Linked DNA regions of Solanum lycopersicum. The protein of the gene in region 2 binds, or shares a complex with, the protein of the main gene of each other region. Links are inferred from orthologs where the notes say so. Each region holds a gene or a part of one and is shown on either strand. Other genes may lie near its edges.

The links.
Region 1: protein TIC 22, chloroplastic (region 2) and protein TIC 20-II, chloroplastic share a complex: the UniProt entries of both Arabidopsis thaliana proteins name them as parts of the tic complex. The link is inferred for Solanum lycopersicum from reciprocal best matches to the Arabidopsis thaliana genes Tic22-IV and Tic20-II.
Region 3: protein TIC 22, chloroplastic (region 2) and protein TIC110, chloroplastic share a complex: the UniProt entries of both Arabidopsis thaliana proteins name them as parts of the tic complex. The link is inferred for Solanum lycopersicum from reciprocal best matches to the Arabidopsis thaliana genes Tic22-IV and TIC110.

Annotation. Positions count from the first base shown.
Region 1 is NC_090810.1:3,715,054-3,718,861, forward strand, and holds protein TIC 20-II, chloroplastic, read right to left. Parts: upstream 2,055-3,808; 5' UTR 2,018-2,054; coding exon 1,403-2,017; 3' UTR 1,330-1,402; downstream 1-1,329. Other genes in the region: pentatricopeptide repeat-containing protein At4g39952, mitochondrial, read left to right, coding at 1-637; membrane-associated protein VIPP1, chloroplastic, read right to left, coding at 3,492-3,611. UniProt on the Arabidopsis thaliana protein: May be involved in protein precursor import into chloroplasts. Not redundant with TIC20-I, TIC20-IV or TIC20-V.
Region 2 is NC_090803.1:65,447,232-65,452,569, forward strand, and holds the start of protein TIC 22, chloroplastic, read right to left. Parts: upstream 3,465-5,338; 5' UTR 3,352-3,464; coding exon 2,914-3,351; intron 2,532-2,913; coding exon 2,469-2,531; intron 1,463-2,468; coding exon 1,388-1,462; intron 870-1,387; coding exon 819-869; intron 630-818; coding exon 570-629; intron 462-569; coding exon 396-461; intron 1-395. UniProt on the Arabidopsis thaliana protein: Involved in protein precursor import into chloroplasts. Imported into the intermembrane space via the Toc translocon. May be involved in the import pathway used by proteins without a cleavable N-terminal pre-sequence.
Region 3 is NC_090808.1:26,784,831-26,790,080, forward strand, and holds the start of protein TIC110, chloroplastic, read left to right. Parts: upstream 1-1,621; 5' UTR 1,622-1,765; coding exon 1,766-2,271; intron 2,272-2,489; coding exon 2,490-2,549; intron 2,550-3,209; coding exon 3,210-3,333; intron 3,334-3,467; coding exon 3,468-3,536; intron 3,537-3,633; coding exon 3,634-3,732; intron 3,733-3,944; coding exon 3,945-4,011; intron 4,012-4,672; coding exon 4,673-4,737; intron 4,738-4,920; coding exon 4,921-5,015; intron 5,016-5,197; coding exon 5,198-5,250. UniProt on the Arabidopsis thaliana protein: Involved in protein precursor import into chloroplasts. Forms a voltage-dependent cation-selective channel at the inner envelope of chloroplasts, which specifically responds to a transit peptide.

The DNA.
Region 1 (3,808 bases), on a different chromosome or scaffold from region 2:
CGGAAATAATACTTTGCTTGATACTGCATTGACTGATATGTACGCAAAATGTGGACAGCTAACAAAGTCCAGAGAAATATTTGATTCAATGGAAAAGAAAGACATCGTTTCTTGGAACGTACTGATATCAGGCTATGCTATGTATGGAGAAGCAAATGATGCTATAGAAATGTTCAAAAACATGGAACAGACGGAAATTAAGCCGAATGAACTTACTTTTCTTGCTGTGCTCTCAGCGTGTGCTCATGCAGGGCTGGTTGAAGAAGGAAAGTCCATATTTAGTCGAATGAAAGATTATTCGTTGATGCCCACACTGAAGCACTATTCTTGTATGGTTGATCTTCTTGGTCGTTCTGGTAATCTGGATGACGCTGAAACTTTGGTTTTGTCCATGCCAATAGCTCGAGATGCAGCTATCTGGGGTTCTTTACTAAGTTCTTGTAAACTTCACAGTCAGGTTGAGAAGGGTATAAGAATCGCAAAACATGCTATTGAGTCTGATCCGGAAAATGATGGGTACTACATCTCAATCTCAGACCTATATAGTTGTGTAGGAATGTGGGAAGAGGTAGAAATGGTGAGGAAAATAATGAAAGACAGGAAAGTGAGGAAAGAAGTTGGCTGGAGTACTGTATAGTTTACGCAGCGACTTGTTGGGAGTCTATTAGCAACTCAAGTTATGGTAGTTCTAATGTGATGAAGATTTGGCGCGATTAAAGGTTTTACACTTGCAAGAGTCGTTCAATTAGAGCTCCCTAATTTGCTTCACCAGAAGAATGAATGATCCTATGGTTACATTGAGATGGTTTTCAGGTTATGAAGCCCTATCGTTTTTCTGGTCAATGATAGTATTCTGGTTTTGGCCTTGCATGATGAACAAAATGTAGTTTTATTATTCTTTGTTGAAGTTCAACCCTTTAACAATGTAACTTACGACAACAGAAACAACATAGTCAGCGTAATCCCACAAGTGGGATCTGAGGAGGACAATGTATGATATGCATGTAGACCAAACCTTGAAAAGTGTTGATATAAGCAAAGGAATTATATTCTCTATTCAACAAAAGCCATTGATATTCCTTAGAGATCGTTTGATAGCTGATAAAGAAACAATGTATTATTGAAAACCCATTATTACTAGTACATTTACGAGTTGTTCGGTGTGAAGTATAACGTGTAATGATTCCATTACAAAATCAAGATATTATTATTTATCCCAAGAAGTTACTTTATCAAGATTTGAACTTTACGAGCCCTTTCCATTGCATCTCTCATGGAGAAACATCTCATCGACGATTCGATTTAAAATATCATACATTAAAATTACAATTCTATGCAACAAAAACCTTCCTTTCATTAGAGAAAACCACAAAACAACATATTAAATAAATTTTAAAAAGAACTACATTTGCCTATTAGCAGCTTCAGTAACAAAAGGCAAATAAGGAGTTTTTCCAAGTATAGAAGAAACAAGCCCATAAATAAAACAGCCCACAACAAACACAAAAAGCCCATTATGCATCCAAACCGTAAATTTCAGCCCAATACCCGATTGACCCGGTGAAAATATCCTCTGAATCAACATCGGAAGCACCAGTAGAACGTCGAGCACCACCGCTTGCAGGGCGTTGAACCGGGGGTACTTGTTCAGATTCTCGTTCCGAACAATACCTAAGTAGAGTGCAAAGAAAGTGACAAAGCTAGCGTATGGGAGGGACCGGTAGAGTGATAGAAGAGGGAGAATTGGTTGAAATGGAAGAGCTAGGGTTGGGTATTGAGCGAAGAGGAAACGGCCGTATTGAAGGCCGTTGAAGAAGGGGAGAAAGTAAGCGACGGCGGAGATAAGGCGGTCGGTGGCGGGGATTGGGTTGTAAGAGGCGGAGATGGAAGTGGTGGGTTTGGTATGGATACGGGTTCGGGTTTGAATACGGGTTTGGAGTAAATTGAGGCTGAGAGGGTGGGGGAGAAGACGAGGGGTAGTAGTGGGAGTGAAACGGAGAAGAGGAATGGAAGCCATTTTTAGGGGAAATGTGAGGTTTTTTTTGGGTGTTTATAAAGATGGATTTTTGTTGTTTGAGGTACAAGTTGTAATGCATTATTTTGATTAAAAAATTAGAAAAAAAATAATTTCCGTTGCCGGGACTTGAACCCGGGTCTCTCGGGTGAGAGCCGAGTATCCTAACCAACTAGACTACAACGGATTATTGATTGATCAACGAGTAATTTTCAATATAGCTCGTTGTGCGTCGCCACCTCTCAAATATCATATAGGTTCAATTAAGATTGTGTGAAGTTCTTTGTCAGTTGGTTGTTATGTTATGTGTTGCCACCTCTCATCTGTACATTCGATTAAAGTTGTTGTGAAGTTCAGGATTAATCAATTGATTGTTGTGTGTTGCCATCTCTAACTTATCGTACACATTTAAGTTATAGTTGAGGTACATAGGGTCTTATCGTCTATCCGTTCAGTTAGGGCTACATATCGAACACTTCGGCTTTGAAGTTTATCGATTTGACTTATTAGTTATCGATTTGTAGATATGCTAAACGGTTGTAGAACCATTAAGATTAGCTTATCAGTTATTGATCGTTCGGTTCGATAATTTATTTAACCGTTAAGTTTGACAAAAAAACACATTGAAAATCACTTTAGAACAAGGTGGCAAACCAATTTAACCATGCACATGAATTCACAAGTTTCATCTTGCTCAAAAGCAAACACTTTTACATCGTAGAATAACCAAGTGTTTGAGACAATCAGAAACAAAAGTAGGAAACCAAACTCTAAATTAAGGACTTTATAAGCAAAATGATATGAATATAATTATTTAATTAACCATCGGATTATCAGTTATCCAGTTAAGAGATAACCTCAAAAGATAACCCGATAACAAAAAAAAAATCAAAGCCGTTCTCAAAACCGCTAAACCAATAACTTTTTTTCGATACGGAATATCGGTTCCGATCAATTTTGAACAACCCTACATTCGCTACACCGCATCTTTGCAGAGAACTCAGTTTCACTAAGTTCATGTCAAAGAGAAAGGGACCATCGCTACATTATTCCGAGTAGCTCATTATTTATGAGACAAAAATAAGATTTTGAGGAGGATGGTGTATACACAACCTTGCCCGTACCTTGCGAAGAAAGTTTGAAGCATGTCGTCACAAAATGAGAGCAAAAACAACACTGTGGAAATTCCAAATCTACTACAATGCAACTTGAAGTGACTATTCTCACATGAAAACATTTGGGTGGCAGTATACAAAACTGTAGTCAGGACTAGCTTACACTATATTGCCATAATGTAGGTCAATAATTTGAAAAAAGATATATCAACATATCTCAATATACTTTTTCCAGTTTCACTTCCTATATTCGCTGGCCTTTATCGATGAGGCAACTTCTCGGAAGATCCAAAAGCCACAATCTTTGAGTAACAAATGCCTGAAGGAAGATGTTTTGTAGTGTGAAAGATCGACTGTGATCTCTAGAAGTCATTTGCCCGCCTCCTTAACTCGTTCAATTCTTTTTCAATCTCTGAATCTTGAAATTGTAATGGCGAGCTTGATCTGGTAACTGGTGTTCTCCCCGGTGGAAGATCCCCTTTCTGCTTAGTCAATAAAAGGAAAACATTAAACCAAAATACCTCAGCTCTACATCAACAATAAAGCAGATTATGTTGTTTCTTTTCCTGATAGTTGAGAAAATTCTCCGCGGGCCAATTGAGGCACGGCTTGTGATGTGCCCCTAGCTCACACATTACGTACTACGCTCTTACCACTGGACCAAAGCCTTGGCGGTGGG
Region 2 (5,338 bases):
AAACCTCTTTCAGGGTTCTTAACTCTGTTTCCTTCTTGTAATTGAAGTAAGAGATTTTACATTAACATGATAATTGACTAAGGAGACTCGGCTATATTTTTCAAGTAAAAACTTTCAACCATTAATCCTCTCCATTACATGCAAAATTTACAATGTTAGGCTCTCCAAGTGAAACCTGTAGCACGTAAATTCAATTTTTTAAATCCTCTACGCATTCAGACAATGTTACACTTGATAAAAGAGAGATCAATGCGAATGAAATTTACTCCAAAACACTTACTAAAAGTAAGTTCTCAGAGACATCATATATTCACCTCTTAGCATGTTTGACCATTCTTAATCTATTTGCACGCCCTATCAGAAAGAAAACAGAAAGATAAAAGTGATTATGATACCATAATGTGCTGAGAGACACTAGATCCTCTCAATGCCCTTGATGATAACTCCTTTTCTATATCCTCCTGTATACCCGAAAAGGAATTCAATGAAAACCATCACGAATAATAACTATATCTAATTTTTTGTTTCTTCTGACTAGTTCCAGTTCAAGATATTAAAAACCAACATACCTTTCGAAAGTATATTGGACAGTATCGTCTGTTTCTCTTTTTCACAACTAGGAGATCTGACTGCACAAGAACAAAAAGCTACAGAATTAAGCGGAGTTTAACCATATTCAGCAGTCCACTCTCTGATATACAAAATATTTAGCAAAAGCTTTCCAGTGAGTGAAGGCTCATAATTCAAAAAATACACAGGCTGAGCATGTAATGTTAGAGTTTTTTTGCATACAGTTGGCAAAAAAGTTTATATGCTACCTGGAAAACAGGGACTCCATCAAATCCAGTCTTTACATCAGAAGCTTTTAACTGTCACAGGAAAAGACAATGTTGAGATGAACAGATTTTTTTAATAAGCATGCATTGAAATATTATGTTTAGCCAAATAGATATTTCCAGGAGGAGGAGACAGAAGTTGGGTGGCAATGGAGGTCAAGCCATTAATAATCTATGCTTCATTTACTAGACTAGTGAGCAAGAGCCTACATACCAGGCATGTCAGTAACCCAAGTTCAAATCTCGAAAAGACCTCCATTTTGGAAATATTTGAATTAACAGTAAAGAGAAGAAAAAACAAGGGTATGTCAGTGGACCTCAAAAATTGATGGGTTGCAAGCAATTCTACCACCTCTGGAATCTGGTCATTAGTTAAAGCTACATGCCAGTGTACTTTCACGTAAAACTATCACAGGTAGATGAATATACATATACAGTATAACTTTCACTTGCACAACTGAACAGGCGTCCTTGTGCAATTCTACTACATTCAGTGGAAATTACAAGGATCCCAGACACAAAACTTAAGGATGACCAACATGGGTAACTACCTCCATTGCATTCTTAATTTGAACAGGATCTGGCAAAAAACGAAATGCGATTCCTTCAACCTTCAACATGTAAACCTGCAAAGTGATACCAACAAGAAAGACGTGTAACTATTCAAAATACGGGACAAGTGCCTGGCAACACCTTTAGGAAGAAATGGAAAAGCAAAAAACAGAAATTCTTGCACATACAGACAACTGCAACTAGTTGCAGTAGATTATTTAATGTACACTGGACCTGTTAAATAGAGACAAAAATGTCTTTCATTCTTAAGTTAAGCTTCAATTTTTTCTTTTTAATTTAATAGCAGAAGAAGATATATTAAACGGGACAGATCAGACGTCTGAGGCTCAAAAGGAGCACGATAGGATCCCCTTTTTTATGGATGAACAAGAGATACAAAATGTATCAATAATGCATACAATTTATCTTAATGATGTAAAAGAGAAGAAATCACTAAAAGGAATGGTAAAGGAAAATGGCTCAGTAAATTAATCTTAACCTGAGATGGTCAGGTAATCTAATCGAGCCTTATCTCAAGGGGTGCGTTTGAAAAGACTCCATTGCTTATGCTAAATACCATGCATGCTCTGTTTTGATTCAATCAATCAACTATGTGTCAATCTAAACAAGTTAGGATCGGTATCTCCATTCTGCTGTATTTGAATCCAACACTTCTTTAACTAATAAGGGACGATTCAATAACCATCAAAGTTTATACCCATTCTTGCAAGAAGAAGTTATCAATATATGCAAAGAAATAGATTGTACATATACACACAAGTCGATCATCAGTAGCTTCTGACTTTCCACCAACCAATCTTGATAAGCACTAGAGACAAAACTGTCCATCACAAATACCATATCTATTACCAGACACTTTCATGGTACTAAAATTTTGCTAAAGTTCAATCCTTAAAACAAGAAAATGGCCTTCTCCATAGAGTAATCTAATGTCACTCCTAAAGTTTGCAATTCTTTTCAAATGAATGTACAAACTTTTAAAAGGAAAGAAGAAAATAATCACCAAAGCAGATACATCCTTAAAAGAAAAATTCCTAGCAAAAGGAAACAAAAATTCACCTGATCAAGTGTCAACGGAACTACCTTAGCTCCACCTCTCACTTCCTTCTTCCGCAACCGTACCTGAAAATCTTCACGTGTTCATTTCTCCACAAACAAGCCTTCCATGTATATCAAAACTTCTATAACAACGCCTCAATTGCAAACTAATAAGGTCCACATTATGTCTTCTGTATCTGCTATCTTATGTATCAATTCCACTATATTCAGGTTCAATACATCCCAAAAATAAATAATTTGACCTTTGAAGGCAATGTTCCAATGATAATTACCCAATAATTTCTTTTAAAGCAATCATCTTTAACTTAGTTTTCTCTTTTGGGCTAATTTATACATATCTTTTCCCCTTCCTGCTACCCTACTTTGATAAAGGAGTTCATCTCTCCTTTCACTCTCTTCTATAGAGAAAAAATTCGATAAATTCATTTTAAAAAATGAAGTTCACCTGAGCAAGAAATGCCTCGGCGTCCTCTTGACGGAAGCACAATAATCCGATTGACTTCGCACTATTCGGGTCCGAAATGAGCACGAATTCATTGTTAGAATTGCTAACTGTGTATACAGAAGTTCCAGTTAATGTCTTAGCAACATAATCCGAGCTCAAACCGGTATTTTTAGCGACCTTCTCTTGACGCTGCGACACCGAAGCGAACGGAAGAGATAGATGATAAGAATGCAACGGCAACGAACAACTCCTCCCTATCGCCGCTGGCAGCGGCTGCTGCATAAAATCGGCGGCGATTTTAGAACTCAGCCGTTTCGCTTCGTCGAATCGGTTAGCGAGTTCAGCACCGAGTCGGGAGCAGTGCTGGTGGACGAAGGTGGAGAGAGACAGTAGAGGACTACTGGAGGGTCCGAATCCGCTTGAGGGTTTGGACTCCATTGATTGTTTACAGAGAAAGGGGAAGAGGATTCGGAGAAGAAGGCTTTCGTATTTCAAGTTTGGGCTTTCGGTTCACATTAGGTCCAATTATTATTATTACTAATCCATCTACTAAAGGCCCATCCATCACAAATCACAATATATAATAGTCTCGTTTGTCTAGTTTATATACAAATATTATATAAAGAATATCGGCATAAGATATAAATAGGCACACTCAAACTTGATCTCAACTATTAAGTAAAAATATCTATTGAACTCAATTTGATCTCAACTAACAACCCCTCTATTTTCCGTGGACACTTGATGCTGATGTGACATGTAAATTTTAGAGGTGTCTAGATGATTACTTACAAAGCTGGACGCTAAAGATGAGTCGAAGTATCTAGATGTGCATACTCAAAGTTAAAGTGTTAACTTGCCAATTGAGGTCAAATTTGAACATATCTGGTCGTTTTGTTCACAAACATCAAATGCAAGATCAAGCAACTTGAAGCCAAGTGTGGTGTTTTTTCATTAAAAAATAAACTTTTGAGATCTTTGTTTATTACTACGTGCTTGTAAAATAGAATAGGAGGGGTAACGAGGGCAAATTTAGCCCATTTTAGTAACGACAAGGACATATTTGACCTTCATAGTAATGAATGACAAATTTGTTTTAATTGCATAGTTCAAAAACAAATTTGATCCTTTTCGATTCTCCATAAAGTAATTAAATATAGGGATGACTTCTCAATTAATTTTCATGTAACTTGTATAGTACAAAGTTGACACAATTAATTTCTTATCTGCATTGTTTCATAAGTTATTTAGTTGGAGTAAGACCTAGTATAAACCACAAAGATGCAACAATAAAAAAATAATCAAAGCTTATTAACTCAAATAACCTCCATTTTATATTCACCAAATTATTGTTCGATAGTACATAAAAAGTTTCTAATGACCTGAAAAACATATATTCGTACGCATATTGTTTTTAGACTTGGCATTTACATGCAAGTTAAAGTTGTTACTTGTAACTATTAGACTGAGACTTCAATCTCATGTCAAATTATGTTTACATAGACACAAATAATGAAAATAATTACATGTATATAAGTGATTGGAAGCTGGATGAGAAACAAGTTACTCATATTAATTTTTGTACAACTTATACATGTTTAGTAGGTGGATAAAATCATAGAAAATAAATTATACATGTACAAAATTAATACAATGTTTAGTTGACAGTTAAGAAATCTGCACAATTAATACATGTATAACTTATGATGAAATCTATTTATTATTTAATGCATAATAGAAAGTGGAATAATTAATTCTAATAATCTAATGTATGTCTTATGGATAACTAATACACGAATAACTCATATCTGCATAAAATAATGGATCGACTAATTCATAAATAATCACTACATTACTAATAGATATCAATGCATAACTCTAACCAACTACCAAAACGATCATTAGAGATCGTTTAATTATTCTTATCCATTATTTGATTATAATAGCAAGAATAATAATAATTAATAGTATCATGAAAAGTTATTTCGAGAGTGGAATAATAGATGTTCTTCAAACTATTTTCTATTTTAAATGATGGAGGGTATTTTTGTAAACAAACAAATTATTCTTTAAATATTATTGGCATAATACATACATTGGATTCTAAACTTGGCTTCAAATTTTAACTTTGACCTTCAACTTTCATTATGCACAAACATACACTTTAACTATCAAATTTTTTTAAAACACATGAGTCCTACATGGCAAAATACATGTAGGACACCACGTTGGACAAAAAATGACATGTAGGACATGTGTGTCTATTTGTTCAACTTTATATAAGTTTAAGTGTCTACTTGTGCACACCCAAAGTTGAAAGACATAAATGTGATTTGAAGCCAAATTAAAGGACATATTTATGTATTGTGCAAAATTATTCAATTCATTAATTTTTCGTACTCCTAATATATCTAATTGTACCATA
Region 3 (5,250 bases), on a different chromosome or scaffold from region 2:
TAATGTTGATAAATTGAAGTTGAACCTAAAGTGAGTTTACTCTTAATTGCTTAATTTCAAGTTATCCATGACTGCTTTCATGGAATGCATACATTCTTTATATTTTGTGATGATTGGTCAAAACCCCAAGATCTAGGAGTGCTCAAATGGAGTTGAGTGTTGATTTAATGTGCAGAGTATTGTTTTATGCTCTGTTTTGTTGTTGTTCATACAAGAATTTGATCTAATTACCATAGGTTTAACTTGAAGGTTAAGGCTGCAAACTTAATTCCTACATCTGATCTCTGGTTGATGCTCGAAAGAGATTGAAGTGGGTAATTAGTTTAATACTAGCAATTTAGGTTTGATGTTTGTAACTTGCTTGAAAAAAGGTTATGAGTTGGATCTATTTCTTTGTTCTTGAAAGAAAGAATAGAGTAGGGTATTGAGTTGTTTAAATTGACATTTAGATGAGTCCGAAAGAAGATTCTATGCATAGATGCTTTGAGATCAAAGATAATTAACGTCAATGAAGATGACTTAGCATATTCATGAATTTTCATCTCTATAAAGCAGCACAATCACCCATTCCAATCCCCGCATCCCTACATTGCTTGTTAACTCTTGGATTCATCTATATTTTAGTTCAATTTCAATAATTGATAACCTAAGCTTTATATTAAGTTGATTGTATTATCCACCCTATTGTTCTTACTATTACAAATGTGTTAAATTAAACTCCAAATTTCTTGATAAGGAATTCTCCACTATATATCATTCCATGTGGGATTCTATCCGTACTTTTCGCTAAGTTTTACTGATAGTGATTTGAGCGTTATCAGTCAACTGCTGCTACTATTGATTAGTGACTCTTCATAGTTCGAGGGCTAGGTCATCACTGGCTTTATCGTTTCTAATCTTTTCAATTTTTAGATATTATTCGTGGCGTAGAAGTTCATGTTCTAGTCACATTATGATTAATAGAGGACTTGTCAAACATAGACAATGTTCCATGTATTCCCTTATGTACTATGTTGGTATCTTTTATGCCATTGGTAGATTTACAACTTATATTGATTATATCTTTTGGATTGTCTTTATTATGTCATACTCATGTCAAGTAGTTTAATTTGTTTATAGCCTCTTGGTGTTTCATTCGCCATGTCGCGCCTAGGGATACTTTGCATCGTGACAATTTTATTTATTTTCTTGATTTTTCTTTTATATGTGTACTCATAATTTTATTTAATTAAATTAGCTTATAAATTTAATTTATTTAGAAAGAGTTGTTTGTTACTAAATAAATTCAATACAAGTCAATGCAATATTTAAAAATGTTAGTTGTTTAACATTTACTAATTGAAAAAACAAATATATCATCACATGACATTTTTGATCTTAGTTGTATGTATTATTTGTTGATATATATATTTTCTTATTATTTTGTTGATTAATTTATAAAACTACATACATATAACGAGTTTTTGGCCAAAAACATATTTTTATGTGTAAACTACTTTGGTTTATACAATTTTAATATCGTTTATCGATTTACAAATATAACAATTCATTGGTGTTGAAATGCGGCAAATGACAAATAATATTATGTTGACCCAATTACAAGATAATAAACCTATGTTATTCCAAAAAAACAAACAAACCTTTATTATTCAACTTGTACCCCCTCAGACCCCTATCCTCTTCTTCTTCTTCCTAGTTCCAAACTCCGGACGACTTGGTTAAACCCTACTTGAACATCAACTAGTTATTAGAAGAGGTAGTAGATATGAACCCATCATCACTTCTCCTCCCTATCAATCAACCTCCTCCTGTCAACACTTTCCGCTCTCAATTTCTCAATCCTACACCTCTCCGTCTTACCCCTAAATTCTACCTAAAACGCCGCATTCAGTCCACCGTCATTTCATCTTCATCTGCCTCTCTTCAGCACAAACCTACTTCCGTCAACCCAGATGTCTTTGGAGGTAAAAAGGAACTTTCTCCTATTCAATCCCTTGTTGATGCCATGTCACCCCCCATAAGAATAGCCAGCTCCGCTTTGATATTTGCTGCTGCTATTGCTGCTGGATACGGTCTTGGTCTTCGTTTTGGTGGATCCCGGAATGCTGGGCTTGGTGGTGCTATTGCTTTTGGTGCTGCTGGTGCCGGCGCTGCTTATGCATTGAATTCTTGCGCTCCTCAAGTTGCTGCTATTAATTTGCATAACTATGTCGCTGATTTTGACAACCCTGCTGCCTTGAACAAGGAAGATATTGAATCAATTGCCAATAAGTTTGTCCACTATGCACATTTGGCTTTTTTTTTTTTAAAAAAAAAATATATATATGTGTTATCAGTGACTAATTAAATTAGATACCAAGTGTGAGCAAGTTATTCTCTACTGCAGAATCTTGGACTATTTAGCTACATTATGAGCTCTCACACCCAACTTTCTCATACTTATTTTTCTACGTCTTTTCCTTACCAATTTACTGCTTTTTATCTTTAAGGTATGGTGTCAGCAAACAGAATGAGGCATTCAATGCGGAGCTGCGAGATATATATTGCCGGTGAGTGCAAAATCAAGTACTGATTTCTTAAAAACTCTTACGGCTGACACGAAACTTGCATTTATTACAATTTTTCAATGTTATATGATAATCTCTTTTTTTTCATTTTTGGTTTCTTCTCCCTGACTCTCGAATGACAAATTTTTCTTTTTATGAATTGCTTGCTTGGATATAAATAACTAAATTTTACCCTTTGAAGCACTTTGTAGGATAAAGTATGGCTTTTGCACTTTGTAGAATAAATTTATTGTTCTTCCATTCCCAAGATGTGTCCCAAAGTGTGTCAAGTTTTGCAAATCAAAAAAAGAAGGAAAATACTGTCACCTTTCTGGAATTACAACTTCTTCCACATACTTTTCTAGTTTTCTATAATATTTTAGTTCTTTATGACCCAGAAAGTGTCAAATTTTCTAACCTTGTCTTGACATATTGACCCAGTTACATTTGAATGGAAAACTGTCCATCCTGTTGTGATACTTGTCTTGGACACCTAAAGGGAATCAAGCATAGTGTTTCTCTGATCCATTTATAATGTTTATCTTGAAATTTGAATGTTTTTGACTATTTTATCTACCAATGACAAGGAATGACTAACTTGGTAGTTTAAACATTGTCAGCTTATCTACCGTCACATATGCATCCAATTTTGTTTGTGTTCAGGTATATATCTGCTGTCCTTCCTGCTAGTACTGAAGAACTTAGAGGCGATGAAGTTGATACAATAATCAAATTTAAAAATGCATTGGGAATTGATGATCCAGATGCAGCAGATATGCATATGGAGGTAACTTGAAGTATCCATCTGATTCTGTACCTAAGAGTTGTAAAACTTCTAGCTGTGGTTGGCTCAAAGTTAAAATGTTATGTTATCAAATAATTTACCAAGTATTAAGAAACTCTTACATGTTGATCTCTCAGATTGGTAGGCGAATCTTCAGGCAAAGACTTGAAACGGGAGATCGTGATGGAGATATGGAGCAACGTCGGGTGGGTCATCTCTTCAAAAAGCTTCAGTTTCCAAAGACTACTGCCTTAAGTTATCGAATAACAACAAATGGAACTTGATCATTTTTGACTTCTCCAGGCATTTCAGAAGTTGATATATGTCTCAACTCTTGTATTTGGAGAATCATCTGCTTTCCTTTTACCTTGGAAACGTGTTTTCAAGGTTACTGATGCCCAGGTAGCGGATTATTTATCACTCTCTCCCTCTTTGTGGAGTATTCAGATTGTGCAGTGGCATGTCCTGCTTGTGTGGTTTTAACATTTCTGTATTTTGATTTGAGGTTCCTGTCATTTGTCTCTTTCCCTGCCCCCTTCATTTATGTAATATTAGATTTCTATATAGTGCGACCCCCTGTGTCCTTTTACTCGTTTTAACATTTTTGCCATTAGGTTGATGTTGCTGTCAGGGACAATGCACAACGGTTGTATGCCTCCAAGCTTAAGTCTGTTGGGCGAGGTAAGTTTTCTCTATTGATGCCTTTGAAGGCACTTTTACTTCTAACGTAACCTATTCATAGGAAACCATTTTACTAGTTTTCTTTTGCATACCTAATTAAACTAATGCTCTTCCAAACTACTTGTCGATATTCTTGGGTATGTTTTCTAAAATTTTCGATCTCTATTAAACTGATTCTAATAAATCTGTATATGTGCTTAAATTTGGCTTTTTTGTGGTATGTGGTGCTTAATCCTGAACAAAGATGAATCATACCATGAGGCTCCACATATGTGGCATGGGTTTAGTATGTTCTATTCATGCACTGAGTAGAGACTTTTTTGAAGTCTTTCTGTCGCTTCAAATTTCTTTGCATTTTAGTGATATATCCTATTGGTTTATGGGTTTTGAGAGCCTTCTGACGATAGCTCTTGAATCTGGACATCTCGTTATTGCTTAGAGTAGAGGGAGTCTTTGTATGATTCCACCAATCTTATATGGAAAATGCTAATTCTTTCATTATCTTCACGAACTCCACTCTTAGTAGCATCTACCTTGAAATTCTATGTTATGGACTTGTGGCGGTGTCAGGGTGATATCACTTGTTTCTTTTCATGATTTAATTCCTGCACTGCACTTCAGTGGTTTTGCATGGTTAATTTAATTACTTTACCTGTTCCAGATATTGATGTGAACCAGCTGATCAGTTTGAGAGAAGCACAGCTTGCATATCGATTGTCCGATGAGGTAGTGCCTAAAAAAATTATCATAATTCTGCTTCATATCCCTGTAGAAATACCTTTTTCTCCTCGAAAAAGGAGATAAGATTGCTATGAATTTGTTGCACAATATTCATGATTGAATTTACTTTGTCCATGTATTCTGTCATCAAATATATGCACAATCATGTCCATTTCTTTCTGTTTGCAGCTTGCACATGAGATGCTTAAGGAGCATGCAAGAAAGCTTGTTGAGGAAATCATATCAACTGCTGTTGGCATATTGAAGTCAAGGACAAGAGCAACGTAAGGTCTTTTAAGTATATTTAACCTCTTAAAAGGGAACTTCCATTTTACTGGATAAATTTTTTACCAAGCAATTCTAGTTAATAGAAATGGGACTGCTCCTATAATTTCTAGCAAGACAGAATGTATCATATTCTTTGCTTGTATCATTTGTTTAATTCAAACTGATTGGGTTTGTTTAGCAGGGAACCCACGCGTGTCATTGAGGAACTTGATAAGGTATTGTCATATAATA